Linked DNA regions of Lepisosteus oculatus. The protein of the gene in region 3 interacts with the protein of the main gene of each other region in a biochemical or structural test. Links are inferred from orthologs where the notes say so. Each region holds a gene or a part of one and is shown on either strand. Other genes may lie near its edges.

Region 1 (10,281 bases), on a different chromosome or scaffold from region 3:
AGCCCGGCCAGCAGCAGAGCGCAGAGCAGACGGGCTCCCTGCCTGCGGGCGCTACCGGGGAGCCGATACATCACTACCAACGGAGCGGGCGGCAGACAGACGCGTTACAACAATTACTATTTTAATTTAAAAAGGGGGGGAGTTAAACCAAACAACTTAAAACTTAAATTAAACTAAAAAAGGCATATTTAATTAGATGTAACTGACGCTACTTCCACATCTCTACTCCGAGCCGGAGCTGACGGCTGCTCGGGCTCTGCCAACCCTGCTATCTGCTGCAGTCCGACACATCGGCCGGCGGGGGCGGGCTCTGCGGGCCACGTTCACGACGCTTCCCGGGATCGGCCAATGACACGCCGCGGTAAGTGAGCGTCATCACAGGCGTCACGGGATCGGTCGTCATGTTAGGTAGAGAGGCGCAAAACCGGAAGGAAGAAGTACGAGAACTTCCTCCAAAGGGGGCCTTTGGCATTTTACAGGTACTACCTATAAATATACGTGTCTGTTGGTTATCTGCCATCCCCAGTGTTGATTGATGACTTTATGTGGTAGAGCTGCCTGTGAAGATTTTTAGTTATGTTGTTTCTGCCCTAATTCCTAACTTACAAATTCTTGCTTCGAGTGTACTGCTTCTAACAGCACACGTTTACCCTTATTACTGACTAACCCAGCTCCTACCCGGAGGCCACCGACACGGGTGAGCTTCACCTAGCACCAGGCACTCCCACAATCTGTTTCTCCATCTGCAGCTGTGCTACTACATATCAATCAGCTCAGGTTTAATTGGACCGGATAAATGCCTTCCACCAGTTCAAAGTTTATTTATCAAATGTACAACAATGCAGCGTGCAGCAGTAGTTGCTGGAAATGAAATGTCTTTTCTGCGAGCTCATCGGGGGGTAAAAAACACCAAATAAAAGTTACAAAATAGATAAAGTTACATAATGATAGATAATAGTGCAATAGAAATTGAATAAGAAACTCAGACAGAGCTCAATATAAATAGAGCTGCTTTTGAAATGGTCTCCTCCAGCCTTATGAAAAACAATGCAAATTAATTTTTCACTGATATCAAAACCCCTCATGGAGATAACAGGAATCAATTTCTTTAATCATTTGGCACACTTAAGTAGAATAAGAAACAAAACAACAAGCAGGAACTCATGGAACACAGATTTAATCTCAAGGTACTGGAAACACCTCCAGGAGAGTAATGGAATGTTTTATCTTTAAGGTCATCAGAACTAATCGGTAATCCACATAGTAAGAAAGCTGCTTGCTCCTGGTTATAGTCACAGCACCCCAGAAGCTAACCCCACTAGACATAGGGTGCAAATGAACATTTCTCCCTGGGCTAGACTCCATTCCATCAAAAGGACACAAGACAGGACGCACCCTGGACAGGACACCAGTCCATCACAGGGCACAAGGTAGGACACACCCTGGACAGGACACCAGTCCATCACAGGGCACAAGGTAGGACACACCCTGGACAGGACACCAGTCCATCACAGGGCACAAAGTAGGACACACCCTGGACAGGACATAAATCCATCACAGGGCACAAGGCAGGACCATACTCTGGTCAAGACACTAGTACATTTCAGGGAACAATAAGAGACATCAGATATCCTACCCAGCTTATCTTTGCAAGGGAGGAAACCAGAGCACTCAAGAGGCAGCAGCACTAACTGCCATGCCAACGTGCTGCCCTGAATCAAAACTTGAACATGTCATAGAAATACATACAGAGAGGTGGCTCTGTGGCTCAGGATTTGCGCCTGTGGCTGGAAGGTTGCCGGTTCGAATCCCGTGGCCGGTAGAGGAATCCTACTCTGTAGGGCCCCTGAGCAAGGCCCTTAACCCCAACTGTTCCAGGGGCGCTGTACAATGGCAGACCCTGCGCTCTGACCCCAGGCTCTCCCTATCTGTGTGCCTGTGTGTCTCATGGAGAGCAAGCTGGGGTCTGCGAAAAGACGAATTCCTAATGCAAGAAACTGTATAGGACTAATAAAGTTATGTTATGTTATACAAGATTTATTTACAATTTTGCACAAGCGGAATTACATTCTTTCCAAGCGGTACTTTCATACACTGCAGCTGAAATCTATAAGACCAAAGGAATGAAGGCTTTGCGGTGTTTTGGATAGGAGTCAAACTTGGCCAGATAGAACTGGTGGCACAGCACAGCCTCCAGCGCCTGGCAGCTGAGCACGTACAGGACCACCAGCCACCAGGTGGGGGCGCCGCCGCCGAGGGCCACGCAGTAGGAGACGTAGATGAGCAGCTCAGCGAAGTAGTGTGGGCAGGAGACGAGCCGGAACCAGTCGCCGTGAGGGACGCAGTGAGCCAGCGTGAGCACCTCCCCTGCCGCAGCCGGAGAGAGACAGCGCGTCGGGGTTAATGATCCGCATCGGGGGTGTGAGCACAAGGCCCAGCGCGACTGACGTCAGCAAGTTTAACAACCGCCTTAAAACTTGTAGGGGAAACTTACAGCAAAACAAACAATAGACATGAACGGAGCCAAACAGAAGTTCAGAACGTACGAGGTCACTGTATTATATTTTCACTCAGCAAAATGGATGATTATTGGACAGACGCTGTATGTACACCTACCACCAAAGTGTGTTTCTGTACGGTCAAGGATGAGGGCCCGGCCATCCATTCAGCCATTTTTTTTATAACCTCTTTCTCCAATACAGGGTGATGGGTGAGCCAGACCTTCCCCAGCAAGCAATGAGCACACCCCGGCCTAAAGAAGTGCCGGTCTAGGTGCTCCTGCATCAGACAAGCACCGTTCCATTGGTTTCAGATCTTCAGTTCCCCTTTTATGAACTGATTCAGGCGCTGGGCTCTAAGCCACATTTTCTTTTGGAGCAGGAAGTTGGGAAGCTTTAAGGCTGTGAAGAACAAATTGTTCATGGGATTGCGCCAGCTTTTCATATCTATCCTTGTCAAGCTAGGAAACGGGGAGTGTAGTCAAAACACTTGGACAACAATCTGAAAAAAAAAATGCGACTTGAAGAAGGATCAAGTGAGATTCTCGGCAGTGTGAATTACAAAGGTGCAGTTTGCCAAATAATTCCCCAGTCAAACCCGAGTGACCTGTCATGAGTGTAGCAACACCTGTGAGACCCCCGTGTAGCTCTCACCTGAGCGACCCTTCCTCAGGTTAGCGAGGATCACGTGACACCTGTGCTGGTGCACAGAGGCCCAGACAAACAAGCCCACCCCCGCAAAGTGGTTCCACCGCACCTGTGCCAGCACTCCACCTTTAACACTACCTGCCAAAACAATAAACAGCTGTTTTTAAATGCCAGAACTTTTTTCTCTTGAAATGTATAACTCTACCATGCTTTTATTTACAACTGGAAAGTTAACAAAGTATACTGCAAAGTATGCATTATGTCAGATTTTGCTTTGTTTCCTTTTTGATACTTGTGTCCTGATGATAGGTAACGAAATATTATTCCATCCTAGGTTGGTATTAGAAAATCCATGTTATTCTCTGACATTGGAGAAACAATCATTCACTGTTGCCTGCATTCAACATGACTGAGGAAAACCATGCAGACCAGTAAAATACACTGCACTTGTGAGGAAGAGGTGTTGTACACAAGGCACAACAGAAACACACAGCTGTAGGAGTTAAATACATATTAAAGACATTCAAAATCAGCAGTAACAGTATTTAATAATTACATGTTCTCAGGCCAGACTGACCTTCGTGTTCAGTGTGAATGTTGGTACAAAGCACTGTTAATCCAAGTAAAATGTAGTAACCAAGCCCAAATCCATACTGCGCTAAGTGTATGACTCCATTGGAGAACACACTGACAAACAAACACTCCAGGAGCCTTCGGAGGGAGTGAGCACACAAGAGCACCTGCACCAGGAGGAGAGAGAACTGCTCACCTGTGAATGGAGAACAAACAGGTGCACTGTAACAAAGCATTGAGATGTTTAACGAGGTTAAATATGAGCCTTTGGCTTCAATCGGACAAACATCCATAAAAATCGCCCAGCAGACAGAAATAAGGTGTTCTCTCTGGAGTGGCTACTGTTACCCTGAGCTCTCCAGGCCTCATAATTTACCCTGTCTGCATGCAGTTGTAATCTACCTTGTGAGAAAATAAAGTGCTAAAAACTAATAAGCTTGTTCTGGCACAGCTAGGTGAACAGCAAATCAATGCAATGGACGTCAGCGCATCACGATTTCCAACTAACTGGTAGAGAGATGGACAGATCCTCACACACTGGGGGTTCCCACCCTGGATCTGGGGAACCTACCCCTGCTAGTTGTCCTTTTAGTTGAGCAGTCAGTCACATAGCCAGATTCCTAAAGGGCCTAATAACAGGCGTGCTGTGAACATTTTAACTGTAGTTCCTCAACATGTTGGTGGCTGCCTTTAAACTGTCGCATTTCTTCTGATATAAATATGAAATAAAGCTGATCGTAATTAACAGCATAATAATTATTATTGCTGTTGGTATTATAAATGTTTGGCATTATTTAATAAGTCCAACATTTGCATTACAAAAGCTCAAATTGAAGTAATTGTTGGCTTCTAATTTAAGTAAAGAGCTGGGCTGGGATATGTTAGTGTTGATCCTTCAATGTTCTTTAGGTTAAGTATCCAGTGCAAGGCTACTTGATCATTTAGCAGAGAACCACCTGCCACTGCCCTTGACGATTCAGGAAACGTGTGTTCTTGTCTTGTGTTACACCTCCCAGCAGAGCAGCAGTGGCCTCATTCCTGCTTTTGATACAGCATGTGGGAACTTACCTGTCCCAGGTGTGGCTGTACCTCCATTGAGGAAACTCAGGGTGCTCTCTAACCAGCCTGGAAACTGCTTACCCAGCAGGGTCTTTTGTAAGCAAATAGTGAGTAATAAGGAATTCCAAATCACAGACACAGCGTAAAAATGGAAAAACCATCTGCAAAACACCCCCCAAACAACAATATTAACAATCTGACACGGTAAATAATAGTAATAATATATACAACAGTTAATATGCAGAATTATAAAGACTGTGTCATTGTCTTAAAGATGGAAACCAAGATAGTCCTGTTCGTATCACACGTGTTCGAGTTACAATACAGTGCAGTTACTTGGTGACTAATACACGCGTTGTATGAAGTAATAAGTTACATACAGCATGCCATTTATTATCCTCGAGAAAATGTAATAAAATATTATTTTCAGAACATCGTGTTTTCCATAAGGCAATTCTAACGTCAATCTAAATTTAATATCAACATAATCCGGCCGTTTCTAATCAGCTTCTGTTTTGAACGCACAGTTGAAACTTTACACACGATGTCTTTTCATTCATCATATGAACATCTTTCTCTAAGGGGGGAACAGCAGTCCACAGCTCTGATTAAAGTTTAATATGATTTATAATTTAAGCCCCGGCAGGGTAAGATGTCTCTGACCTTTTAGGAACATCAAAGTATCGCAGTAGGTCTGACCGCTGTAGGGTGGTCTTGGTTTTTCCGTACCGAATAAAATCCTGGAATAAAACATAAACCCAGGAGCCACCGTATTTATCAGACGAGTGAGCACAAACGTGAATACAAAAAGCAAAGAAAAAACAGAGAGACAGAAGTAACCATATACAATCAATAGGATTCATCCTAAACCACTGAAACCAAAGTTTCTTAGTGTCCGCGGGGGAAACAATTCCGACGTGCAATGCGTGTCTGTGCAGTAGGGGTTCCGCACCGCAAGGGTAAATACTTTTCAACACTTCTATAGCCCTCTGCTGGAGTCTCCACTCAAAGCGCTTCACGGGTAATGGGGATCCCCTCCACCACCACCGGTGTGCAGCCCCACCTGGATGATACGCCAGCAGCCAGGGTGCACCAGTACTCTCCTCACACACCAGCTCTCAGTGGGGAGAGCAGAGTGATGGAGCCAGTGCAGAGATGGGGATAATTAGGAGGCAAGGCCCAGGGATACAACCCCTACTTCTAATGGTATTTGTTTAAATCGGTCCCGTTAAACAATAATAATAAATCTCCAAAGTTCTGCCTGCCGGCTGAATAAGGCGTTTTGTCCCTTCTCGCTTGCCGTCCGCCCTGCGCTGGTGGCGATTGGTCGAGTACTGCTCGCTGGCCCCGCCTCCACTTGGTTGCAAATGGCGCCGCGCATGAACAGGCGCCGGAGGAGGATGTAGTGGGTTTGCCTGTTTCTTGGGAACTGGGCAAACGAGCTTTGTGCTTTGCTCGGGTAAAGAGAGAAGTAGGTATGTGCTGATGTTGTGTTCTATTTTGGAGGAGTTTGTCAAGTTTACTAGCAACCGCAGACTGCAATGCGTGTGCAGTGTTTTCCACAATCTCCAGTGTGCACTGCGAAGAGCGAGGTCATTTTGTGTTAAAATGAAAGCGGAAAAAAATAAAAATCCCAAATCGTATTTATTCTGAGAGATCATCATGCAGTGTTTCAGAAATGTATCGCTGTTAAATGTATCTCTCTTTTTTTTTTGTTCTAAAATTCAAGTGCTCACTACTTACAAGTCTTCTCAGGTTGGAAAATCGATGCCATAGCTGTATTTGAAGACTTACAAATACTGGAACTCCTCTGTCTAGACTAGAAATTCAGACTCATACCCCAGTATAGTGACATGGGAAACTGCTGCAGGAGGTGCTAGTCTTTGGATTAATCATAACTACCCAGTCGTTAAAGATCCCGTGACAATGTGAGAGTAGTCATGTTAACCCTGGTGCCCTAAATAAATTCCACTCCAGTCTTGAAAATTCCATGTTCCCTCAATTCCCCTTTTGATGTGATTGGTGCCGCGGTTTCTCACTCCTCCACCTGTGTGCTCCCTCGAACATGTGAAGCCCTTCAGGATGGGGAGCGCTGTGGGAGTGCAGGGAGTGACACAATAACATTATTGCTATTAAATACTTCTCAAGCTGTGGGAGCTGAGCTCTTTAACCTGCTCACAGGCCCCTGGGAGAAGCGTCTGTGTGTGTTTGTGTGACGGAATGGCGTCCCGTCCCGTGCCCATTACTGGTGGGAGCGTCTCCGGCTCCCCTGTGGCCCTGAATTGGGAGAAACGGTTGGGAAATTGATGGAAGCCGAGTCCAGTGGTCTCCTCCACTGTAAGCACACAGGAAGTGCTTCCTGCTTGTCGCTGTTTCCTGGTCCTCCTGGAAGCCCTTCTCATGTGCTGATCTTTTTCCCGGTTTGTCTGTTTTTTTGTCAGTGCCGAAGATGCCTGCGTTCCGACAAGTGGGGGAGAAGCAGCTGCCGAATGCCGTCCTTTTCATGGTCTGGTCCCCGAAGAGGGACCTGATCGCCCTCGCCAACCGAGCGGGCGAGGTAACAGCCCCAGGGCTTCGGGGCAGCTGGCCGCAGCCGGAGGGGCGCCGGTTACACGCCTGGCAGTCCTTGTGCTGAACTGGCGGATCAGAAGCTGATGCTCCGTGTCTCATGCATGCCTGTGCTGAGAATAAATTCGCTGTTCTGAGTGGCGGGTTTTCCCCGAGCGCGGCTGTCTGTCTGTCCACTGGCCCTGGAGAACATTTCTGTGTTTGAAAGTTAAATCGCCCCCAATGAATTAAAAAAAAAATAACACTCCTAAGAATAGTTCACGGCTCAAAAAAACAGCAGATTTCTGCTTTTGAGATGGTCACCCAGTAAATCGTCTGATCGTCTGTGGCTTTGTCTGCCCTCTGACTGGCATCGAAGCCTCCCTTTGTGTGCGTCTTGCGTCACGGCTGGGGAAGAAGCCTGTCTCTGTCTACTGCGATAGAGGCAGTCCTGCAGCAGACTGTAACTGTTGGGTTGCTGGTTGTAAATGAAGCTGTGTGTAAATTAAGATTTGAGGGTACAGGACAGAAAACAACAACTGGGGAATTCTAATCTCATAAAAGATGACGCGAGGAGTGTAGCTCTCGCTACGTGTATCAGCGACATTTACAAACCTCATTAATTTGTCTTAATTGGTTTCAATGTATTTTTTAATTTATTTTTAAGCTCCTATTACACCGCCTGGCGAACTTTCAGCGGGTGTGGAGTTTACCTCCCAATGAAAACACCGGCAAGAAAATCACGTCGCTCGCATGGAGACCGGATGGCAAAAGTAAGGGCAGGGAGACTTTTTAACAGGAGGGGGTCTGCTGCAGTGTCTGAAGAGCCCCAGCACAGCCTGGAGCCCCAGTTACTTTCTCCTGGGGACTTTATGCCATCTAGATAACATCTACAGCATCTAAGAAAAGTATATTTTACATTATTTGTCATCAAGAAATCGACATGACTTGGATTTCTTTTATTCCCTTTGCCCGTGCACTTCTTCATCAGTTGAGATGAAATTATAGCTTCTGTTGAGGGCATCTGTGTGATATGCATCCAGAAGGGTGGTTGATTATTCAAATTTGCAAAAAGAGCTCTAAAAATGTAGAAAACGATATTGCAATCGGGAGTGTGAAATAGCTAAAATGCAAGAACGTGATTGTGAAATAGACTAATCCAAAACCTGTTGTGCACTTTAATACTAGGAATAATCGCCTGTACTCAGAAGGATGTGGAGTACTTTAAGTGTGGCCTATCTCTTGTAATGCAGTTCATGTTCTCTGTTTTTTTTCCTTCGTTAGTTTTGGCTTTCAGTGTTGGGGATACTAAACAGGTGATTCTTTGCGATGTGGAAAAAGCAGAAATTCTGCACTCTTTCCCTGTGGAGCAGCCAGTGTCGTGTATGCACTGGATGGATGTTTCGGAGGACAACAGGTGTGTTTCCGTTATTGTCACAGGTGGAAAAAAAAATCTGAATTAGAAGAAATGGTCACTATGCGAATTTGCCTAGTCCACACCATTATTTTTTACATCAGATGCGGGCTAGACAGTGCTCACATTAAAAGATTCCTTCATGCTATTAGGCTGGTGTGCAGGTTACCCAGCTGCTTTCTTGCATTGGTAGTGACAAGTAACGTAACTTTTGTGAACATGGAGGTGGAGGTGACCCACGAACGGCCAAAAAGTTTAAATTGAAATGTACGAGCACCTGCTTTGTGGATATGGTAGAATAGCAGATCGCTTTTTATTGCAGTGTTTTCTCATCGTTTTATAATGAAGATGAATCGGATCTTTTCCTGCCAAAGTTACCAGCTCTTCCAGAGAGGTAAGGATCTCTATTTTCTGAGTGCTTTATTCTGATACTTTTAATCAGTTTCTGTATTTGACCTATGTGTTAAATGTCACTTTTTAAATTGCCGTATCAACTGAAGTTATTTAATATCACCTTTGCAACGTTATTAAAAGTTAGGTTTTGCCACAAATGTTGTGTTTTCAAAACATTAGTGCATAATTTCAGTAATTGTTAATCTTGATAAGTGCTATAAAAGCGTAAGGAATTATTATTAATTAATTGATTTTCGAATATTTTTATTTACAGCTACAGCACCACGTCAAAAATATTCAGGTAGTTTCGCAAACACTTTCTTTTGATTTTCATACATAAATATTATTGCACAATTAACTAATTTATTGTCTGGCTTCCAGCGAAGACAAATCTGATGAGATTATGAATCTTCTGGGTGAAGTAAGGTGAGTTTTTAACAGTTTTTATAGCTATGCATAAGCAGTAGGGTGCAAAAAAACATCATTGAAATTGTTCATGTGAAGCATAAAAATACAAACCTCTGTTGGAACCAGTAGAATTTGTTGATTTTTTTTTCCATGACACTTATTATAGTATGTTCTCATTAAATACAGAGGAACAGGTAAAGGTTTATTCCACGCTGAAAAGAAACAATGTTTCGTCAGTGGAGGCTTCTCCGGGTGTTCTTCTGTTCTACTTTCAGGTGTTCTTCACACCTGAAGAAGACTCCACAGCCGAAACGTTGTTTTTTTTCAGTGTTGTGATTCTATCCTTCTCTTCTCAGCAGGAATAAACCTTTACTTGGTCCTTTGCAGCCTGCGCATGCTGACGCAGCTGCCTACTTGAGCTACCTCATTAAATGCGGTTGTGAACCTTTTCCGTTGTGATGTGGAGAACATTTGTTCTGTGACCAGCTGCTGTACGTTGCTGACCTGGGACAATACGGCTGCTGAGGTCACGACTGTTTTAGTTGAAGATCTGATCATCTGTAGAGCGAATCACTAGGCTGTATCTGCTGTTTACACACAGATGCTGGAAGATGAACACCTGGCTGCTCAGTTATTTGTAACTCTGATGCAGATGTGCATGAGGTCTCTTGCGGTTAAAGCTCTGCGTGTCAGGGCATGGATAAGAACAGCGCTGTTCTGTGTCCCTGTTTCTTTGTCCAC
Region 2 (10,372 bases), on a different chromosome or scaffold from region 3:
GGGCTGAGCAAGCAGTAGCAGTCATCTGGACAAAGTTTGCTTCTTTTTTGTGCGATGTTCTCAGGAATGAAGTCTTTAAAACCAAAAGGACACTCCAGTTGCTTCTAGACTCTTGTGGGTGGGACAGTTGAATAGGGGGGTGGGGGGGGATACTGGAGGTTGTTAAACTGGAATAATTTTCCTGCCATCCTAGAATGATATGGACTGTCCACTGCTTCACACTTTTGTACCCTTGTGGGATTGGAAAGTTTCTTTAGCATTCATCTCAGGCCCTGCATGCTGCTTTACACTAAACTACAACAAGCTGGTACAATTTGTGCCAAAAACTTTTGCTAAACGGCAGGGCTTCTACAGCTGGCATCTTCTAAGAGGCATTCCACTCTGCTTTTTTCCTGTGTAAGGTTTTTGAATGTAGTGGTTTTCCCATTTTCTGGAATTTGTAAATGAAAACTGTAATATGTCAGATTAATCTGCAAGATAAAGCATTTAGAAGGACAAATTGCTCCTTAGATGAGATCTTTAGGTGCAGAACTGGTAATGTCAACTGCCAGGGCTGTCCCTTTGGTACAATGGCTTGTACCAAGCCTCTTTCATGGACCAGTTCTTTCCAGGAGCTGCAAAAGCAGAGTTGCCAGTTATATTAACTCTTTCTGGACTGAACCAAATCACTTAATATAGTGCTTTCCAGTTTGTTTTTGGTTTATGCTTAAGCCTCTTTGAGCATAGTGGAAACAAATTCCTCGTGGTCCATACCAACAGGCATTCTTACTTTAAGGGGCAATAGCTAAACATTACCAGTTTTGTTTAAATGTGTTCAATATTTTATTTATAAAGCCTGTCTTCTGTACATAAACTTGTATATCTAAATTATGAAGACTTTTGTTTGTACAGAGATCTCCAAACCAAAATGGAACAAAGTGACTTTAGTACTACAATAAAAGCAGAGACCATGGAGCTGTGTGCATTGTTATCATGGGCAGAAACAAGGAAGAGAAACCAAACTCAGAATAATAATTTATTAGAAACTACAACAAATACTAAAAATGAACAATGCCTGTTTAACAGGTGGGCATCACAACTTCGGCCAACTGGGTGGTGTTAAGTGCCACAGCATCCAGAAAACAGATGAAGGATCTCAGTCTTCCTTGATCTCACTTAACAGTGGTTGACAGTTTAATGTAGTTTAACTATTAAGCAGCTTACATGAAAAACTCATTACCAATGCTTAAAAACAAACAAAAACAAAGCTTCAGTCTTCAAACTCCATTGGAGGCAGATCCACAGTCAGCTCACTCACCGTCTGCAAGAATGAGTCCAGTTCCGCAGACCAGTCCTCTGCAATACAGATATCACTCCTAGTCTTAGCCCATTCACAAGAGATTAAGACTGGAGTAGCAAAGTCAAAACATTAAGAACCTTTCTGGTAAAGGTCACTGAATTACCAAGCAGTGCACAATAAGGTTTATCACTTCCAGTTATTACAGCTTGACTACAGTTTAAAGAGGTCAGGTCATTGACCATAGGTCACTCACTAGATCAGCACCTGCAGCAAAGCCAGTTGCATATCTAGTCTTGTGAACTGGAGTCTTAATTGTGCAGGAGGCAAAACACTTAAACAGGTGGATTACACCTGCTCATGGGCTGACAGCATGCAATCTGGTCAACAGCCAGCCCTGTTCACCATTTTAAATCAAACGGGGTTTGCTCACTTCAAAACCTACGGCACTGGTTTCTGCAAGAGGGTGGCAGATTCCCCACTCTACAAAACACCACCCCTACCCCCCCCCCCCCCCCCCCACACACACACCTTTTGGTAAGGTCAGAGGCGACAGCTGCATACAGACATCCAACAAGTGAAAGTCATCCTCCTCTTCCACAGTGGGCGGCACTGCCAGCCCTGCCAGGCACAGGTGGCTCAGGCGCTGCTCCTCGGGCACATCGAAGCTCTCAAACTCTGATGGGAGACCAGGACCATCAGCCCCAGAGAGCGAGTAGGCAGGAACCCAAGCAACAACAGTCATGTACAGGTACTTAAACAGATGGAACAGACTTACCGAGTTCAGGAACAGGTGTTCAACTAGGGGGGTTCAGGAAGAAGCTATCTGGCACATATCCCTTCATAGCCCCCCCCCCCCTCTCAAAACACACAGGAAGGGGACCTACCCAGTGGGTTATAGGGAATCATCTTCTCCACCTCGGGGTACTCCTCTTTCTTCACCTGTCGGGGGCAGGCCTTCACCTCTTCTTTCAGCTGGGGGGCCAGGCAAACGGCTTGATTAATTCAACTGAAACCCAAACACCAGCCAGAGGCTTCGACCCATGTGAAGCATCAGTAGGATTCCTAATGCAGGTGACCAGTGCTTTCCACAGGATACGAGTCCTTAGCAGGCTGGGCCATGCCATCAAAGGCAGTGCTGGGTTTGAGCGGCAACCGGAGTCTTCATTAAAGGGGAACTGCAACACTTTTTATATTTTGGGGCTAGAAAGAATCCGCATGGAGAAGTGTATTTCAAACTGCAACAGTAAAATGTACACAGTAACTGCGATTCAAACGAGGCAACAACTCCTGGTGAGGTGAAGCCACCCTTTTACATTGTAAACAAACAGGCTTGTGAATACATCTCTTTTAATCCAATAGAAATATTGCTCTTGGCTTCAAGATAGTTTTGCCAACCCTGCATGCAAAACACATTAGAACATTTCTGAGGTGAAATGTTTGCAGCTCAACTTGAACATTACAGTACGTGTCTCGTTGCAGTTAATAGTGAGCAGGACCCAGTCACAGCACCAAATTTTATACACAACCTTTAAAATTTATGAAGTGGTCAATTAGGGAGGTAATTTGTCAAGTCACATAGACTGGAGCTCTTAAGATCTTTTCTAAAGAGCTTTCAGTCCTTAAGGACTATGGTTCCTTTAATTGATCAGTAGCCATCTGATCCAGAACCTAGGCTGAAGAGTCCAAGACTTGTTTAAGATATCAGGCACAAGAGCAGTGTCAGGTTTGTCGATGGACTCCAGGTTAGAGCAGGAGTGAAGTATCCTACTGGCACTGCAAGCTGCCTGGTAAGTGTACCTTAGTCGAACCCACACGTGGCTCCTTCTTCCGGACAAGAAGGGGCAGGGAGGGAACTGAGCCAAGCGCATTGACTGTCTTCCGAGCCGAGAGCATGGGGGCGCCGGTCAGGAGCTTCCCAGTGTGAGGCGTCTTCAGGCATCTGTCAGCGAGCAGATCTGCCAACAGAGAAGCTAGTATGCCACAGACTTCATGATAATCCCTTACACTAATATAGCACTTCTCTGGACACTACTCAAGACGCTTTACAGGTAATAGGGATCCCCTCCACCACCACCACCAGTGTGCAGCCCCACCTGGATGATGCTCCAGTACCCTCCCTACACACCAGCTCTGAGTGGGGAGGAGAACAGAGTGATTAAACCAGCTCAGATATGGGGATTATAAGGGGGCCATGATTGGTCAAGGCCAATGGGACATTTGGCCAGGATACCTCATATTGAATTGGTTAAAGGGATCTCATCCAGCCACTTCTCCAAATAAGCCAAGACATGGATGCAGTAAATGAGACATTACAGCAATCTAGGCTTTATGAAAGAGATGCACTTCAAAAGATACAGCCATGGAGTGGGTTTATTAACAAAGAATTAATTTCAGCACCACTGTTAGTCATTTCGTTTTACAAAGGACACATTGGCAATGGTCCTGTATTCATCCCAGCACTATTCAGCAGGTAACGATACCTCCGCTGATGTGGCTCGGAAAAGAATATCGCCGTAGCGACGCTCTGAAACCAAGTACCCTTCTTCTAATTAGTTACCCTCGTAGTCTATCAATCGAAATCGATGCGCAATGAATAACACGGGAGGGCCCGACAGCGGAGCGGGGGTCTCACCTGGAGCAGACTGTAGCCTCACCCGGTTCTTCGCGGGAGCGGGCGTCGAGAGGGAGCCGTTTTCCTTGTCGGTATAAATCGCCAGGGACATCTCTGAAGAAAAGAAAAAAAAACGAATCTGTAGTGCACAACAACAAGACGAGTATTAACAGGTAGGACACTTAAAACAAGCGATTCCAAAAGAACGTCCCACGTGGGGTAATGGATAAAAAAAAAACTAATCTTATGTAGTTCAAGAATGTAGCTGCGTACGTCACCATGCGTACGCGGCAAAGGAACAAGTTAAATGTTTATTCCACGCTTAACAGGGAAGAAAGGAAACTCGACGTTTCGGCTGTGGACTATATCTATAAAACTATACCTTTGCTACTACCCGCCTCATAAGGACGTATTGCAGCTTTATTTTTTGCTCCAATACTGCAAAAACGTTTCGATTTCATTACAGAGAACATTTTTAAACCCCCCTCCTCCCCACTGCGTTACTTACCAGCGTACTAAATTCAAAGCTTCACCACACAAGCGCCACTCTCCGTGGGCTCTCGTTTTAAACAATAATCCGCGCTCCCATTGGCTCTCCGGGGAGCACGAGGATGCAGCTGTTTCGAGGAAGTGACGACTGTCCGCACCGCCCCCTTGCGGACCGGGTGTGTAACGCGACCGACTGAGGCTGTTTTCATATCGCCGCTTTTTTATTGCTTTCACACAACTTGCTCGGTGCAAGCCAGCGCCTCCGCTTGTCATCTTAGTGAAACCTGACGGAGGGGTAGACGCCCGGGCTATTGGCTCCAGTGCAGTTCATCATCGCCCAGCCGACTGTTCTCCTACCGGTGTAATTCCTGGTGCGACACACTGCTTTATCACTTTTATCGACTGGCGCAGGAAATAATTTCTTAAATCACCGTGTAAATCAGGACCCGCTTGAATAGCGGAATGGTCCTCAGATCCATTAACAGCTGGGTTGCGGACAGTATAAAAATCACTCCATTTATTTTTAAAATTCTAAATCACTGGGCAGTAATTATGAACCTGTAATAACAACGAAGTGGTGAAAAGAGCAGATTAGAAAGATGTAAACATTCAAGAACTATGGTATAACTTTAATTGAGTCAAACGAGCAGTTAAGACGGGAGTATACGGCTCTTTCCAGACAGCGAAACCGGGGGACCGGGAGCCCTTACTGACGCAACAGTTTGGTAACCGTCGGATGAGCGGTTTTAAACAGCCGGCGGATCTCACTCGGGTTTCATCTCTTAAAGTTAAAATCAACGCAAGGAGGCCAGTGGGCATTCTGATAGCACACCGATGGTGGCGAAGCCGCCGGAAACAGTATTAAAGTTACCAATAAAGTTGCGGGTATTACTAACATTATCACTACGGTTTAGTTTAAATCCTCCAGCACTATAGGTGCTTCATTTGCAGATTTTGCCACTAAGACATTAAAAATAGAATAAGTCAAATACAGATTTTCACGATAAGTGTAGGAGTATTTATAGAATTTAATTAAAAAATTTAAAAATGTATATTTTTGTGTTACTGCTGAACAAACTTTAAAGCACCACCACGCAGACGCCCCCCTTTGAATGACGTCAGCGCGCAGGGTATCCTGGGAATATGGCGGCGTTGTGCGGTGGACTGTAAATACGACACTAGGAGACGATAAACTGACCTCAAAATATATTGTCAGTCGAGTTCGGTAAGACATATTTCTACTTATTATGTATCTTACACGTCATGTTTTACGCGGATTTCGCGTCATAACGTCATGTGTTTCATTTGAATGCGCTTCCCCAGGTCGTTTACGCACAACGGTTGTGTAGCTGTAGACGGAAGGCCAGTTTGTTATGGATGAACGCTTGTGAATTTAATGTAAATCTATGGCATTTGGAAGTACGTCGTTTGTTTTGCAGTATTCGAAGATAACTTTCCTGTAACTGTTAAATTCCAGTATCGCTACAGAACACGTGTTTCCCCCTGTTAGCCGGGGAAGTAGCTGGTTTCAAACCTCGGAGCTTCTCCAGTTTCTGCCCAGAAGACGGAGAGGAGGCTGGTTTATGAACAGTCTGTTTCTGTATTTGTCTTTCTCGGCCTCTTGTTCATCTCCCAAGTCCCCTCCCTTTCTCTTCGAATACTGCAAAGGAAATTATCATCTCTCTCGCTCTGCGACTTCGTTCACGGGACTCAGTAGGTCAAATTGGGGAACTGGTTATCTGACATTTGCTATATTTCTACATGGCTGTGTTTTGTTACAGCTGGTAAAAGCTCCACAGCCGAAACGTTGTCTCTTTTTACCAGGAATAAACCTGTACCCGTTCCTTTGCAGTCTACGTATGCTGACACTGCTACCTACTTGAACTTCTGTATATTTTGTATACTAACGATTGTAAAAGCAAACGCACAAATACATATCTCATCGATAAAGTCCTGGTTGGGTTATTAGGGGACTCAGAAAACCATTATGGACCCGTTCTAAATGACTGTACTAAATGGTGTAACGAGTTTGCACTTAAATGTTGTCAAAACGAAAGGAGCTGGTCATTGATTTTCAGAATAATGCAACATCTCTCCAACCTACAGTAATTAATGGTCAGACTGCAGGAATCGTCACTGACTAACAAGTACTGGGGGTGGTCATAGACAAGAACCTGAGTTGGGACAAATGCTGTGAAACCGTTTATAAAAAGTACAACAAAGACGTTTGCTAAGAAAAACTAAGAAATTTCTAGATAGATAGGACCATCCTAACAATTTCTACAAGTCTTTTATTAAAAGTGTCTTGGCATACTATCTCACTTGCTAGTGTTGAAATGAGTACCATTGATTGTAATAGTTTTCCCAGCCTAGTCCAAATAAATAGCAAATTAATTGGAGGAAATCAGCTCACCTCACATATCCTCTACAAGCAAAGCGTGCAAAGAAATGCTTTGTAATGCAAAGAAAGCAAAGTGTATTATGGATTGTGTCCCCAGTTGTAATACTCATAGACACAGGAAATCTTTCAACCCCACTGAAATATCTAATATCGTAACTGTCTTGCCGTAACAACCACCACTTCTTGGTTGGTAAAATTTTGTCTGTCCTTGTGTTATGTTGGAGTGTGGGGTAAAACTAATTTCCCCAGTGGGACTTGAAAGGTTGAATTGAATTGAATAATCCAGTCTCTCCCACCCTCCTCCTGCAGGTGGCGCTGAAACAGAAGAGCCATGTCAGCAGGGACTGAGGGGGTGGTGGGGCTGGAGGAGCCCAAGAAGATGACCAGGGAGGACTGGAGGAAGAAGAAGGAGCTAGAGGAGCAGAGGAAGCTGGGAAATGCCCCAGCCGAGGTGGACGAAGAGGGGAAGTACGTCACGCAGGCCAAAACCTTACAAACTGTCAAATAAAGGGTGGAAATTTGGAGCCGAAATCCAAAAGCATTGATGTGCTGCTGGGCATCCTTTGGGGAAAGCCAAGCGACAGGAGAACAAGAGTTTTTTTTGAGGGGGTGCCGCAAGATGCATGCTGTAGGATTTTGTGTGTAAGCTAAGGGCTCTTTATATCCGCAGCTCAAGAAGAGCTGGGAGATGCTGTGAAATTAGTCTAGTTAAACCAGATGGTTCCTGGCTTAGCTCTTAAACACTAAATTAGAATGACAACCTACAACACACCAGCCCTCCAGGACCAGATTGGCTGGCTGTAAACCTGTTTAACTTTAAATATGAATTCATTACATATGCCCCTGCTGATACTAACCTACAAAATACCGATGAGGGGTTTTGTGCAGAGGATAGTCAGTGGAAGTTCGTGACTTCCATTGCTTAGATATGTTGCCTTTTCCTTCTTGATACCAGTTCTAGTAACTTTCCAGGTGTTTTTTTTTTAGAACAAAGATCTTCACATCTCCAGCCCATGGCTTTGGTATCCTCTGCCATCTTTGTGAAATTTTTATACTTAGCATATATGTGATCAAGACACGGCTCTTGAGCATCGCGTCGCACCATTACAGGTTTGCAACGTTGGTCTAAATGAAATTGCTGACCTTTCATTCTTTTTCTAGGGACATCAACCCGCACATTCCTCAGTACATCTCCTCCGTGCCTTGGTACATCGACCCCTCCAAGAGGCCGACCCTCAGGCACCAGAGGCCACAGGAGGAGAAGCAGCCGCAGTACACGGCCATCGGGGACTGGTACAAGCGGGGCGTGCAGGAGGTGAGTGCTCAGCGCGGCGCTGGGGTGCTGCTCTGTAGGTAGCCCATCCCCTCAAATCACACGAGCCTTCTTTCCCGTAGGTATTTGCCCCAGGCGAGAATGTGATTCACTGTTTTCTGAAAAGTCACATTAAAAAAATAATAATAATAATAAACGTTATTTTATGTAGCGCCTTTAAAGGTGGTTTCTCAAAGCGCTTTACAGGATGACAACAACAATAAATAAGAAGAATACACAAGATGAAACACAATTACAATATATAGAGGAGACCGTGGATGGTGGTACTAAGAAAAGCAGAGGGGTGAAGAATGCAACCAGTTCAGTAAAGGCTTTTCTGAAGAAGAGGGTTTTGAGCCTGGATTTGAAGGAGTTCAGAGAAGGTGACTCTCTGATATCCTTGGGGAGACAGTTCCAGAGCCTTGGGGCATAACAGGAGAAGGCCCTGCCACCCCTAGAGTGTAGACGGGCTTGGGGGACAGTTAGGAGAGCAGAATTAGAAGAGCGAAGGTTGCGAGGTGGGGAGTAGGGCGATAATAGTTCAGACAGCTACTGAGGTGCCAAGCCTTATAAAAATGAAGGGGGGCAGAACTATCACATTTAAGGGAGTGGCAAAAGAGAGAATTTCTGGGGAATGATAAATGTAGTGTTTATAACTGATGTCTTAGGCATTAGGCAAAGAAAAGTACAGAATTGGGACGCTTGGCTTGTTAAGCTGAAACAAAATGGTCTATTAGAACATTTTACTGCTCAAGCACTACTTGTCTTGTAATCTTCAGTCAGGCCATTTATTATCATAAGACTGAAAAATGTTTTTGCTGTGTGAGGGATGGTATACAGCATTTGTGAGTGTTTTTTCTTTTGGCGTAGAAACCTGTTACCACGAAGTATCGGAAAGGGGCATGCGAGAACTGTGGGGCGATGACGCACAAGAAGAAGGATTGCTTGGAGGTAAGTGGGAACCAATATTCCATGGTCCTGGTCGGGGGGAAAGATAGTTGGCTGTTTCGTTTTCTTTCGCCTTCTGTTTCTCCTTCCTGAGCCTTCCCGAGCTGGCCTCCGTCGCCGGGTGGCTAGTCAGAGCGAGGCAGAAGAAAATGGCCGCGCCGCTGTCCAAACGATCAAACGGGTTGTCTTTGCGCCCCGTCTCCCCAGCGGCCCAGGAAGGTGGGAGCCAAGTTCACGGGCACCGACATCGCGCAGGATGAGCACAGCCAGGTGCAGCTGTCCCTGGACTACGACGGGAAGCGGGACCGCTGGAACGGGTACGACCCTGAGGAGCACATGCGCATCGTGGAGGAGTACTCCAAGGTGGATCTGGTGAGTACACTTCTGACACTGTGTAAACATGGATCTAACTCTTTATACGGCTGTACCTCTGTCTGACACCATGTAAACATGGATCTAACTCTCTATACTGCTGTACCTCTGTCTGACACCATGTAAACATGGATCTAACTCTTTATACCGCTATACCTCTGACACATGGTACACATGGATCTAACTCTCTATACCTCTGTCTGTCACCGTGTGAACATGGATCTAACTCTCTATACCTCTTTACTTCTCTGTCACAGTGTGTATCTTTAAAAATATGTACAACGCCTCTACACCTCTGCCTGACACCACGTGCATCTGTAAAAATATGTACACCCCTCTACGCCTCAGTCTGATGCTGTGAGCATTTTTAAATATATACATATTTTAATTATGCTCCCGGTTATCCGGTGCTTTTTTGAAAACATGAGTATACCAATTAGGCATTTTGTGCTAAGGATAATTTCACAGTCAGTTTCTGATTTTTGTTGCCTAATTATGTTTTATTTTCCTTTTTAATTCCAGTTGTAATAAGCTTCATAAGGGTTTTCCAGAACAAAGACTTGCAAATCGCCAGACTTGTGTGTCTGTTCTGTGTACGTTAACAGATAGACGGTTTCACACTTGTAGCCCCGGGGACTCAAGAAAGCGATGCCTACTGCATAGCAGTTTTGAGCATTTTAGTGATTTCCAAGTTGCAAGTTTCAAGCTGATGTCTTATCAGCGGGGTTAATTAACGAGGGAACAGTTGGCAGCCAAATTGAGGAGCATGTCAATAAAATAATAGCTGCAATGTCTTTGTTGCTACCCTCCTGTGAATTGCCTGGCTGTGCAGATGTTTAGTGTCTAAAAGTGGTTCTCCTGTTGGTTGCTTTCAGCTGACTTGGATTTTTTTATTCCATTATTCGCATAGGCTAAACGCACTCTGAAAGCACAGAAGCTACAGGAAGAGCTGGCTTCGGG
Region 3 (10,572 bases):
CAGAATCTCCAAACTCTGTGACAATATCATCATGGCTCTTCTGTTTATTCAGGACTCCCCCAGTTAATATTTGTTCCCCCTCTGCAAGTCTAAGTTCAAAAAGATTTTTTTGGAAAGAAAAAAAAAGAGGAAAATGTAAAGCCAAAGGAAGAAACACCAAACAATCAGGACGAAGACTGTAAATGCTCAAGGCAGAAGAAACGAGGGGTTACAGTGACATGGCAGTTAGTGCCACTGTCTCCCAGCTGTTTAAATTAAAACTCAGTTTCAGACAGGGATTGTCTGTGGGAGTAGTCTGCGTGTTCTCCACCTGGGTATATTCCAGTTCATCCCATTTTCTCACGCATTGCAATGTAAGATAACTAGGTCTCCTAATTGCTCCCATGCATTCTGTGACAGGATGAAGTCCCAGTCCAGGGTGTAGCCCTGCCTTGCACCCTGTGTTGCAAAGGTGCAACATATATTGAGGTGGCTGCTGCACACTGGCGGTGGTGGAGGCGAGCCCCTATTATCTTTAAAGCTCTTTGAGTGTCCAAAAAGGCACTTATATAAATGTAAGAACATTTTTATTATTACCATGTTATTGGATAGGCTGCAAGTTGCTGTAAGCTTAAATAAGTACTTTGCTCATCCCGGTATACTGGATGGGGTAACTAAAATACTTTTACATTGCAAACTACTCTGATCTGTGCCTGCTTAAAAAAAGTATGTTATTCTATACAATACTTTTAGCGTTAATGAGAATTTGGACTTACAAAAACCCAACAGATAGCTCAGAACCGCCGGCCTTACCTGCTCAGGTCCACACAGCACTTTGCGAGAAGGTATTTGCACTGCGGGGTAGTGCAGCTATGCCCTTTAAGAAGGCGATAAGCCTTGTAGGCCTTGCCAGACCGGTAGTAACATGTGGCCAATAAGAAGAGAGCCTCTTCAGAATGCACTGTCCAAGCACATAAAAAAAACAAGCTTCAGCCCTAATGAAGAGCTTAGATTTCGAAAGCATAAAAACAAAACAAAACTGGCAACCAAACATTTCGTTATACTTTATCCCCCCCCGCAAACCACCCCAAATAGCTAAAAAAAGGATTCTTGTTAAAGACTATACATTTATACAGAAAAGAGTATTAAAATGTAAAACAGGATTTCAAGACCACAAAATGTCTAGGCGTAATTGTTAAAAACATAGAAGTCAGCAAAACAGATCAGCACAAAGAATTCTACTGTTATTTTATTTCTAAAAATCAGGCATCTTAAAATATAGCTCACTTCACAATAATTTGGGGGCCATGATTAAAGATGTACAACTACACCACCTTTATTCAGGATACATGAGTCCCTAATAATTTTATTTCCCAGTCTGACTCCATCACTTCTGAGACATTATTGATTTATTACAACCAAGAAAAAGTTCCGAACAGCTGGGTGATCTCCTCACATCTATTTCATTACCTTCAGCATAGAGTCTCTCTGCCAGAAAGACAGCATCTCGGTAGGCATACTGGTTTAGTGCATGCCAAACAGCTGCCTAGGAATGAAATGAAAAATTCAGTACCATCTTGGCAGCAGAGGTCCTTATCTGCAGCACAAATATCATCAAGATCTGAAACGTGTTTAGTTAATTTACACATTTTGAAACAGGGAAGATTTAGCAAACTAAAAATCTTTTTTGAATTGGGTAACAAGATCAAACTTTTAAAAACCCATTCACATATTGTTGTATCAGGAATACTACTAATAAGATTGCATATTAAGAAATATTTACAAAATGTTTCTCAATAAAACCAAAAGTCATAATTACTAACTGCTGCTCGTATATAACCAAGCGGACTAAACATAGGTTAAGTTCAGTAAATGGCCAAGAGATTAACTGGATACAACCCAAATGGCAGTGTAATTAAAGTAAGGCAGTTTAAAAAGAACGTTATTGTCCTGTTAGCGGCATTTTTTATCTCAAAGAAACTTGACACATTTTGTGAAAAAGAAAACATTACTTAGAATAATATAATGACCAGTGCATTTAAGATCAAAAGCAGCAATAACTTCTTTATGCAAAGGTTTGTGGGAGTCTGGAACTCAGATACAACAGCTGAAGCTGATACTCTTTACTTCCCTCAGGAAACAGAGTGGATAACACTCTCACATTAGTTCTCCATTATACGCCACACAAGATAGATTGGCCGTGTTATGTTTTAACAGCTGAAGTTCAAGTGTAACCCAAAAGTGCTATTCATGGGCATTATAGTCACAGAAATGACACTTCACGCAGTCCCCAATCATATTACTCCCTGCGTTATATATAGTACAAGCTATCATAACCACATTCTCTTTCAAATATAGGTGGCTATGTACTTGTGTCAGTGATCATACACCAGTCTAGTTATGTCCATTACTTTCCATGTCACCCAACAGTTACCTCAGTTCAGCAGGTAAAACACTTCTCCAAACACCTGTACATATTCTACAAGCACGAGCATTACTGGTGCTATTAAGAGAAAAAGAGCACAGTTATTCCCAGTTATAACCCCTAACCCCAACAGCCTCACTTACTACGAAGGGGCGGGATTGGGGCATATCTTCAGATGAAAAACAATACCTGGATAGGCAGAAAGTCCCTTTGATATACTAAACCCACAGTTCTGCGACATTAGACCACAAAGCAATAAACCGAATTTGATTATAAACGACTGTTCATGAAGACGTTTGCACTGCAGACACGTTCAACGTATTGCTCTTCACATGCAACATTTCACCTTACAGGATCACCGCGCATCACCCTTCAGGTGTTTATTAAATGCGAAAAAATACCTTTTCAGGAGCAAAAAATTGTTAAAAAACAGCAGTCAAAAACTTCGAAAGCTGTTGTGTCATTTTATGTACCTAGGTTTATTTGTCCACACACTCCGAGATAAACAGCATTCGCTAACACCAAGTAACAATTTTCCGGTTTTATTTTTATTTAAAAAGACCTAAAAAAAGCCTACCGATCAATATTCACTCAAATTCTACAATCAGTCGCTAAAGCAATGCACTGAAGCCAGAGGAAACAAAGATGCAGGTGTTCGACTTCAAAGGCATCTACGTTACAATGTTCCACATCTCACAATCGCAAACTTCAGTAGTTGAACCAAAGTCTTTCCAAAGCAGAACAAAACCTCAAAAACGACCCTCACAATGTCTGGTTACTCCACAGTGCCCCAATTTGAATGAATTCGCCATCTGATCAAACTGTTAATGACCCATCACAATTTATTAACCACTAGCACATCAGCCAAGTTACCTGTGTAAGGTCGCAAAATGCTACAGAACTACCTGCCGTATTTTAGAAAACAAAATACTACAGTAAACACCTCTTTCCCCCATAGGGCAAGATGCCACACCGGCGAATAATTAGGACTTTAAGACTAATACAATTTCAAGAGCAATAAACTGCAACAAAGCGTTTATAAAAGAATCGCACATCACCCGAAAATCTTGTTATAATTCTGATAAACCGGAATTCTGAATCAAACAAACGCATCGTTTTTGGCTTTGTAAAGCTTTTCAATCGCGTCTTTTTTAGCTTCCCAAAAGGAGAGTACGCGAGGCCTCCACTATTTGTTTTCAGGCCTCGGGCTCGGAGTAGAGCTCCCTACCGGCTGGCGAGAGCCGGACTCGGGTGGGCGCGTTCCCACCACAGGCCGCTCTCATTTTAACCAAGTAGCTGCGCCGCGTTTCTTTATTTTCCTCCGTTACCTGCACAGGTTCTTGTAGCACCGTCATTACGCGATCAAGCTCCTTCTCTCTGCCTTTAACTCGCTTCCCCCGTTCCGCAACCCCTCTTTCGCCTTTTGCTCAGTTTCAGGGCCCGAAGGAGCTCCGAGGATTTAAACACATCGACCGTTAGCGACCAAACCGAGACCCGCCGGAGATTGCCGATTAATGCGGAACAGGCACGAACAACGACGGACTGTGACGGAAATTGCCGATAGCTTCGCCAACAACCCGAAACGCAAGCGCAAGCTAGGAGTGTGAAATAACACTTCCATTCACAATTAATTACAGCGCGCAGTGATAATGGCTGGCTGCTTTCGTTCTCAATTACTTTCTCTCTCTTCCTGTCTTCATTATGAAAAATTAGGGTTTGGGACCTTCTGTATGGACTTCTCTCCAATACATGCCTCTTTCAAAGTAAAACTGCCCTATACTCTGTCCAGTTTAATCAACATGTTTTTAAAGCACATTTTAATGAGCCCCAGTGGCCTAATGGATAAGCTACTGTCCCGCCCTAACCCAGGGATTGTGGGTTTGAGTCCCATCTGGGATCGACTGGATGAAGCCACAGCGTGCAGAATAAACTTTTTAGCTTTCTGGATCTCTAAAAACCTTTTCCACATCAAAGGCCACCAGTTGAGACACGACAGATTGCATCTGAGTGGGATAGATGGTGGTCGTCTTGGCTCAATAACCCACTAAAAGCCCGACACTTAAACTTTACATGGGGAACAAAGACCAAAGGAAAAAAAACAAACGATTCTGTAATTAGGCTCTTATACCTAAAAGCTGGGAAACAAATGAAATAGGATGGAAGCTGGCACATTAGCAGGGAGTTATGATGTTACTGAAACTGATGGAGAGGAATGGGGCATAAGCGGATTCTCTTCTGGGAAGATCGGAAAGAAAAAAGGTACTCGTCAAAACGCTGAGGCTCTGCTTAAAACTTGGCAGGAACAAAACAAAAGCAATGCAAGTCGAGACACAGAAATGAGGTCAAAGAACCAGAAAGGGACTACAGCGTATCAAAAAGAATATTCAGGTTGGGGAATTAAGGGTAGAGGAATTACTTCTTTGAATCTATAGGTGTGGTGTTAGCAGTGTGTTAGACACCACCACCAATTGCAGATGTAGATTTTTACTCAACACCGTATAATGAAATTAAAAATGTATATGCCACATAAGAAATTATTTTTATTGGTAACTGTAGGTCACAATGGGAACAAAGGGCGGTTAGGTATGTCAGGAACAGGCTGAAATGGAAGACAAACAGTAGTTCATCACTGATGGCAAGACAGGTTATCAGAGTGCTTATAGGTGGAACTGCTTGAGCAGATCTTGTCTTTTCAAGTAGTCAGGAGAATGAGGACAACAAAGATGGGAGAACCTTTATGAGCTTTTGGCCATAATATGGTGCTGATGGATATTTTGAATCTGTACAGGTTGAGTATGGAGCAAAAGTGTCCAATTTCTGGACAGCAGGCTTTTGAAGGAATGAGATGCAGGGGAAGAGAAATAAAATAGGACAGGATAGGTATGAGGTCATTTGAAAAGGGATGGTTAGAGTTTAAACAGTCTGAAGCAAAGAACAAATTTATCACAAGAGTGACTCAAACAAAAACTAAAAAAACAGCATCCGGAAGGGTTCAGAAAACAGTTAAGAAATAGCTATTTTTATTTTGGGGGGAAAAATAAAGCATATTACAACACATTTAAAACAACAGAAACAAAGACAATTGGTTTACATGCACAGGTGATAAAGTTATTAAAAAATGAAAATTTAAAACATATTACAATGGAGGCTAAAAGAAATAAAAAAAAGGGTTCTTGTCATTCTACAACAGCAGAAGTACCATTAGGAATAAAGTAAAGCACATCTGGAATAAAAATGGGACACACTGAGCTAGAAGAAGCTACTTATGAGAAAAAGACCTACGTGATTATGTTGACATACTGTAAGTGGAATTCAAATGAGTGGAAGTTATGTTCAAAATGTTTACTGTACTACTAAGGTCTCTTACTAGAATATAGTGCACAATTGTGGTCACCACATTATAGAAAAGATACTGCTGCTCTAACGTCAGTCCAGAAAAAAGCAACTACTGTAGGTACCGGAGCAGAGGGGTTTATGTCAGAATAAAGGGCACTTCAGATCTAATGTATGTATTAATATTAGTGCTTAGTTTAACTATTCAGAATCCTTAATGGTATTGCCACTGTCAACTCAGTGAATGTCTTCCACATGAACAGTGAAACATGAACCAGAGAGAGCAAGTGGAAGAGCGTTTAAATCCAAGAACAGGAGGTACCTCTTTACCCAAAGGGTGGTGGGAGTATGGACAAAGCTACCCAGCCAGGATGTTGAAGCCAATACCCTGGATTCTTTCAAGAAAAGACTGCACAAGTTTGTAACCTTTCTTATGCAGAAGCATGGAACCTGGATCCCAGCCTCGATCAAATTCTAGTGCTCACCTCTGATTTAACTGTATCACTTTCCAGCCACACTCCTCTCAAATCCAAAGTTTAGATCACTGCGGACAATGCTCATGAACAATAGGATTTCTGTGACAAATGCCACCGGGTTTGTTCCGGGCGACACGATGGCACAGCAGTTAACATGGTAACCTCACAGCACTGAGGCCCTGGGCCAATCCATCTGTGTGGAGTTTGTATGTTCTCCTTGTGTTTCTAAGGACATTACCTGTTGTCGTTTTGCACATTGCCTGTTGTCTCTGTTTTTCTTTTCTTATACAATTGTATTGTTGTTTTTTTTGTACTGCTTACCATCTGAGAGCTAGCTAAATAGCATTTCATTATACCATATACCTGTATATGAGTATAATGACAATAAACTTGGATCCAAGAGGGACATCGTAGATATAGCTAAAGTTTAGAAGGAATTTACTGGTCTACAGAGATCTGCATGGAGTACTAACACACAGAAGACATGATGGATGGATAGATTAATACCCTCATAATTTCCTTTTTTTAATTGTATGATGTTAGCATGCCCAAAAAGGTTGGGCAACCAGTTGACCTTGGACCCCTAGAGGTATTTTTTCTCCTTAATAAGGAGTTTTTGGTTCCTCTCCTCCATTGTCTTCTGGTCTTCTGTTCTGTATTGACAAAATGTATTGTCAATTGCATTGTTAAGTGCCTTAGGGCAACCTTGTCATGAAAGGCGCTATCTAAAAATAAATTGAATTGAATAAACATGAACTTGAACTTGAACTTGGACTCGCTGGTAGATAATTTTGCCCTGGTGTGGCTGTGTATTTATGCCTGTGTGTACCCTCTGATGGGATGGGGTCCTGTTGGGTGTTTGTGCCTGTTGTTTGCTGGGCTAGGCTTTGACATCCCCTGTGACCTTGTAATGGATAAAACAGAAATCGGATGGCTAAGATGTTGTCAAAAGCTTCAATAGAGCCTGAAGTTTTAAGTGTATAAAGCCACCAGGTGGAGCCACAACACCACTAATACAATATGTTACCCTTCTAGTTTTCCTGACTCTGTCCAAAACTCTCCTAAAGGAAAATTAAGTACCTAGATTTACACAGTCACACAACTAGTATGCTACAGCATGTTCAAACCAGCTGCTTGTAACTCAGTTTAAATTCATGGATCTCCCCTGTTGTAGTTTTCTTGCACTGCCATCCTGTGAACTTTACGATAAACTTCAAAATCTTGCTGTCTTTAAGGGCTTGAGCGGTTTGTCTCCTAAGTAAATCAGTGAACCGTTAGCCCCCTACACAACGTCACTTTTCTTTGCTCTTTGGTTTTACTTTTAGTTCCCCAAAACTGGATCCTAACCCTGGGTGACCCTGAGATAATGGGGAGATCATGTTTCCTGTACTGTTTTTCTCCAAGGCTGTGGGAATGATCCCTAAGCCCATGACTTAAAATTTACTTTCATACATCAGCTTTTGATTCCCTTAAATTTACTGTAGTCATTTGTGTTTAGTCGTTTCTAAGGTTTCTCCCTTCACCTTGATTGTTGTAAAGCATGAATCAGCATGAAGCATGAAGCATGATTCAGAACGTGAGTGGGGGTGCAATTAATAATTTTAAAAACACAAATAGTTTTTGTAAGAAAAGCACATTTCCTGGGTATTTTGTTAGAGACCCCAATGGCACTGTTTGCCCTAGACGCACCCAGTCTGAATTTCTACCCTCCATTTCTTCCATTCACATTCGAGACAGAGGTCATACTTAGTCTGACTTCATCGCGCCAGGGCGGATTCGGAAAAAGCTTGGATCTAATCCCTGTGCGGACTCGGATCCTCAAGGCAAAAGAAAAAAAAAAGGAGTTCTAAAAAATAAATCAGGGATAAGAGATTAGTGGATTGCTGAAGTGTAGTTAATTTGTTGCAGAGGGTGTTGCTGTACTCCAGAGCTTCCTCTGCACTGACAGGTATTAATGCAGGTGGATTATCTATCTTCTGCTGTTCCAAAGTGTCCTCATGGTACCCAGAACCTTACAGCAGGTGCTGTAGCTATTCCAAGGGAACAGGTACAAGGGATTGATTCTTTATTACAGGAATCAATATTATTATCTTTTATACTGAATGCTTTTGCTTTCTCCTAGGTATCGGGAGGTCATTAAAAAATCACATTTTCTTTCCTCTGATTGTGGATTGATCTGAGCAAGAGATGGATTCAGAGACATTGGGTCTCGACCTTCGATAGTCATTTTAAGAATAAACAAATACATTTAGTAGATTGACAGAATCAGTGCAGCCCTATTGAGAAAACAGTTTTAATTGCAGTTTTGATTTGTTCACCCTAGTTGAAATATATAGGTGTAGGTAGGTAGGTGTAGTTGGTGGATTTATTCATGACTCATTTCTGTGATCTCAATAGGCTGTAATTTGTAGATGTCTAAGCAATTGTAAAAAGAAAAAAAAAGTATGGGAAATTAAGACAAGAGCTGGATGTGAGTTTCCAGATCTACCCACTTCAGTGTTGTGGTTTAGCATGTGCTTGGGAATGTGGAGTTGTGGTTAGAGTCTTGGATTTATGCCTGGAGTTCAAATCCTGGCTACGCAGTGAAACAAGGTCCTTTTCCAGATTTCTCCAACAAACCTGACCGCATAAATGTACTGTATAAGTCAACTTTGATCAGAATGGCAGCCAAGTAAATTGATCAAACAAGTCAATGGATGGATAATTATGCATTTTAAAATTGACAATGCTGTGCATTGCACAATTTTTAAAAAATAAAGGGGAATTCATAGGTTCACTCATTAGCAAGTATTAGGCACCTCCAGGCAAATGAAAATATTCTCAGTGTCACACCATTACCCTCATGACAACCGCTGGTGTAGGCATTTCTGCCAGAGAAATAGGACATGACGGTGCTGCTCATGACAGGATCGTAATAATAATTTGGACAGGGTATTTAATAATTTGGCCAGTGTGTATCCTGAGAAGATTGACAGAACGTGGCAATCAAGACGTGAGCACAGCACTGACTCCTCAGTAAACCAGGGAGCTGCTACAGGGATACGGTGACTGATGGTCTGTTTGTAGTACTGCTATACACACAGGAAGAGTAAAGAGGTCTGAGGCAGGAGAGGCACAGGACAAGGGTGATCCAGGAACACGGTGAGCAGGCAAGAAGACTATGAAGACTAAGACCAAGCACAGGAGCGTGGAAATGTGGGTCTTAAATACTGGAAGGAATCAGAGTCTGATGGGAGACACTGATTACCTCCTGTAGCACATTGTGATGGCTACTGATGGAATAAAAGGATTAAGGTTGTTAGCAGTGAGGTTGGTGTGACTATTTGTGGTCCGACGATTGTAGGTATGACATTATTTAATAGTATCTCACACCTGACACCAGCTGGATCAATCTGACACCTGACAACAGCCAGATCACACATCTGACAACAGCTGGATCACACGCCCGAAAAAAAGATGGATTACACACCTGAAAACAGCTAGATCACACACCTAAAAAAAAAACTGGATCCCACACCTGAAAAGGCAGAAAGGTGGCCGAGTGGTTTGATGTGGGTGTGTGAGAATGAGAATCTGACAATCCCACCCCTGTGCGAAGCCAGCTTTATGTTTCCAGAATTTGTCTGCTTTCTTTTTGTTTATTTTCTTAGTTATTATTTACAGTTTGGTATATTACAGTGAAAACAGAAAAGAGTTTTCTGTCTCCAATTTCCCTTTTTTTCTGTGTGTGTTCCCACTCTATTGTTCAATGAAAAGGGCTGTGTGCCTCTCTGGTACTATCTTGGCTGTCCTGAATTGGCTGTTCTTTCCAGGCCTTCGGCATCTGAGAAGCAGGTACTCACTCGTCTGCCTCACAGGTAATAAAATGCAAGTCAGATGTCAATAAATGAGGCTTGGAGAGTTTAGAAGAATATAAGAATGGTGAAAAATTAGACCCACCTAGTTTCTTTGTTAAATAGTAGTCCAAGCATCTCAAGTCAGGGTATCAGTTTCAACAGAAATGTCCTGGTACCTTGTTTCATCCTCCCACAACCCTTTGTGTAGAAAGTATGGACTGGTCTAGGTTTTAAATGTCCTACCCTGTAGTTTCCACTTGTGGCCTCTGTTTCCTTGTTCACTGTTGATTTTGAAGTACATATGTTTGACTTTGTTAATGCCTTTAGGGATTTTGAATACTTGAATGAGGTCCCATTGTAGTCTTCTGTTTAAGAATATAATAATTCAATTCTTTAATCCTGTCAGTGTAGGAAATTCCTTTAAGCCCAGGAACATATCTGGCGATTCTTCTCTTGTCTGATGCCAGAGCAGCAATATCCTTTTTGGAACATGGTAACCAAAACTGTACACAATATTCTGAAT

The links.
Region 1: the proteins of cdc27 (region 3) and anapc4 form a complex in vitro, tested with the Homo sapiens proteins (2 studies listed by BioGRID). The link is inferred for Lepisosteus oculatus from reciprocal best matches to the Homo sapiens genes CDC27 and ANAPC4.
Region 2: the proteins of cdc27 (region 3) and pttg1 form a complex in vitro, tested with the Homo sapiens proteins (3 studies listed by BioGRID). The link is inferred for Lepisosteus oculatus from reciprocal best matches to the Homo sapiens genes CDC27 and PTTG1.

What each region holds. Positions count from the first base shown.
Region 1 is NC_090696.1:77,824,103-77,834,383, forward strand, and holds the start of anapc4 (anaphase-promoting complex subunit 4), read left to right. Parts: upstream 1-6,114; 5' UTR 6,115-6,248; coding exon 6,249-6,249; exon of another isoform or gene 6,250-6,253; intron 6,254-7,219; coding exon 7,220-7,335; intron 7,336-7,992; coding exon 7,993-8,098; intron 8,099-8,609; coding exon 8,610-8,742; intron 8,743-9,061; coding exon 9,062-9,133; intron 9,134-9,406; coding exon 9,407-9,433; intron 9,434-9,513; coding exon 9,514-9,558; intron 9,559-10,281. Other genes in the region: putative divalent cation/proton antiporter TMEM165, read right to left, coding at 1-71; srd5a3 (polyprenal reductase), read right to left, coding at 2,108-2,367, 3,153-3,284, 3,724-3,915, 4,788-4,939, 5,442-5,641. UniProt on the Homo sapiens protein: Component of the anaphase promoting complex/cyclosome (APC/C), a cell cycle-regulated E3 ubiquitin ligase that controls progression through mitosis and the G1 phase of the cell cycle.
Region 2 is NC_090706.1:28,923,422-28,933,793, forward strand, and holds pttg1 (securin), read right to left. Parts: upstream 4,506-10,372; 5' UTR 4,399-4,505; intron 4,005-4,398; 5' UTR 4,003-4,004; coding exon 3,912-4,002; intron 3,235-3,911; coding exon 3,077-3,234; intron 2,252-3,076; coding exon 2,164-2,251; intron 1,955-2,163; coding exon 1,808-1,954; intron 1,336-1,807; coding exon 1,250-1,335; 3' UTR 1,003-1,249; downstream 1-1,002. Other genes in the region: pre-mRNA-splicing factor SLU7, read left to right, coding at 7,112-7,248, 7,942-8,095, 8,963-9,043, 9,248-9,412, 10,323-10,372. UniProt on the Homo sapiens protein: Regulatory protein, which plays a central role in chromosome stability, in the p53/TP53 pathway, and DNA repair. Probably acts by blocking the action of key proteins.
Region 3 is NC_090723.1:7,972,334-7,982,905, forward strand, and holds the start of cdc27 (cell division cycle protein 27 homolog), read right to left. Parts: upstream 3,919-10,572; 5' UTR 3,760-3,918; coding exon 3,733-3,759; intron 1,526-3,732; coding exon 1,450-1,525; intron 941-1,449; coding exon 793-940; intron 90-792; coding exon 1-89. UniProt on the Homo sapiens protein: Component of the anaphase promoting complex/cyclosome (APC/C), a cell cycle-regulated E3 ubiquitin ligase that controls progression through mitosis and the G1 phase of the cell cycle.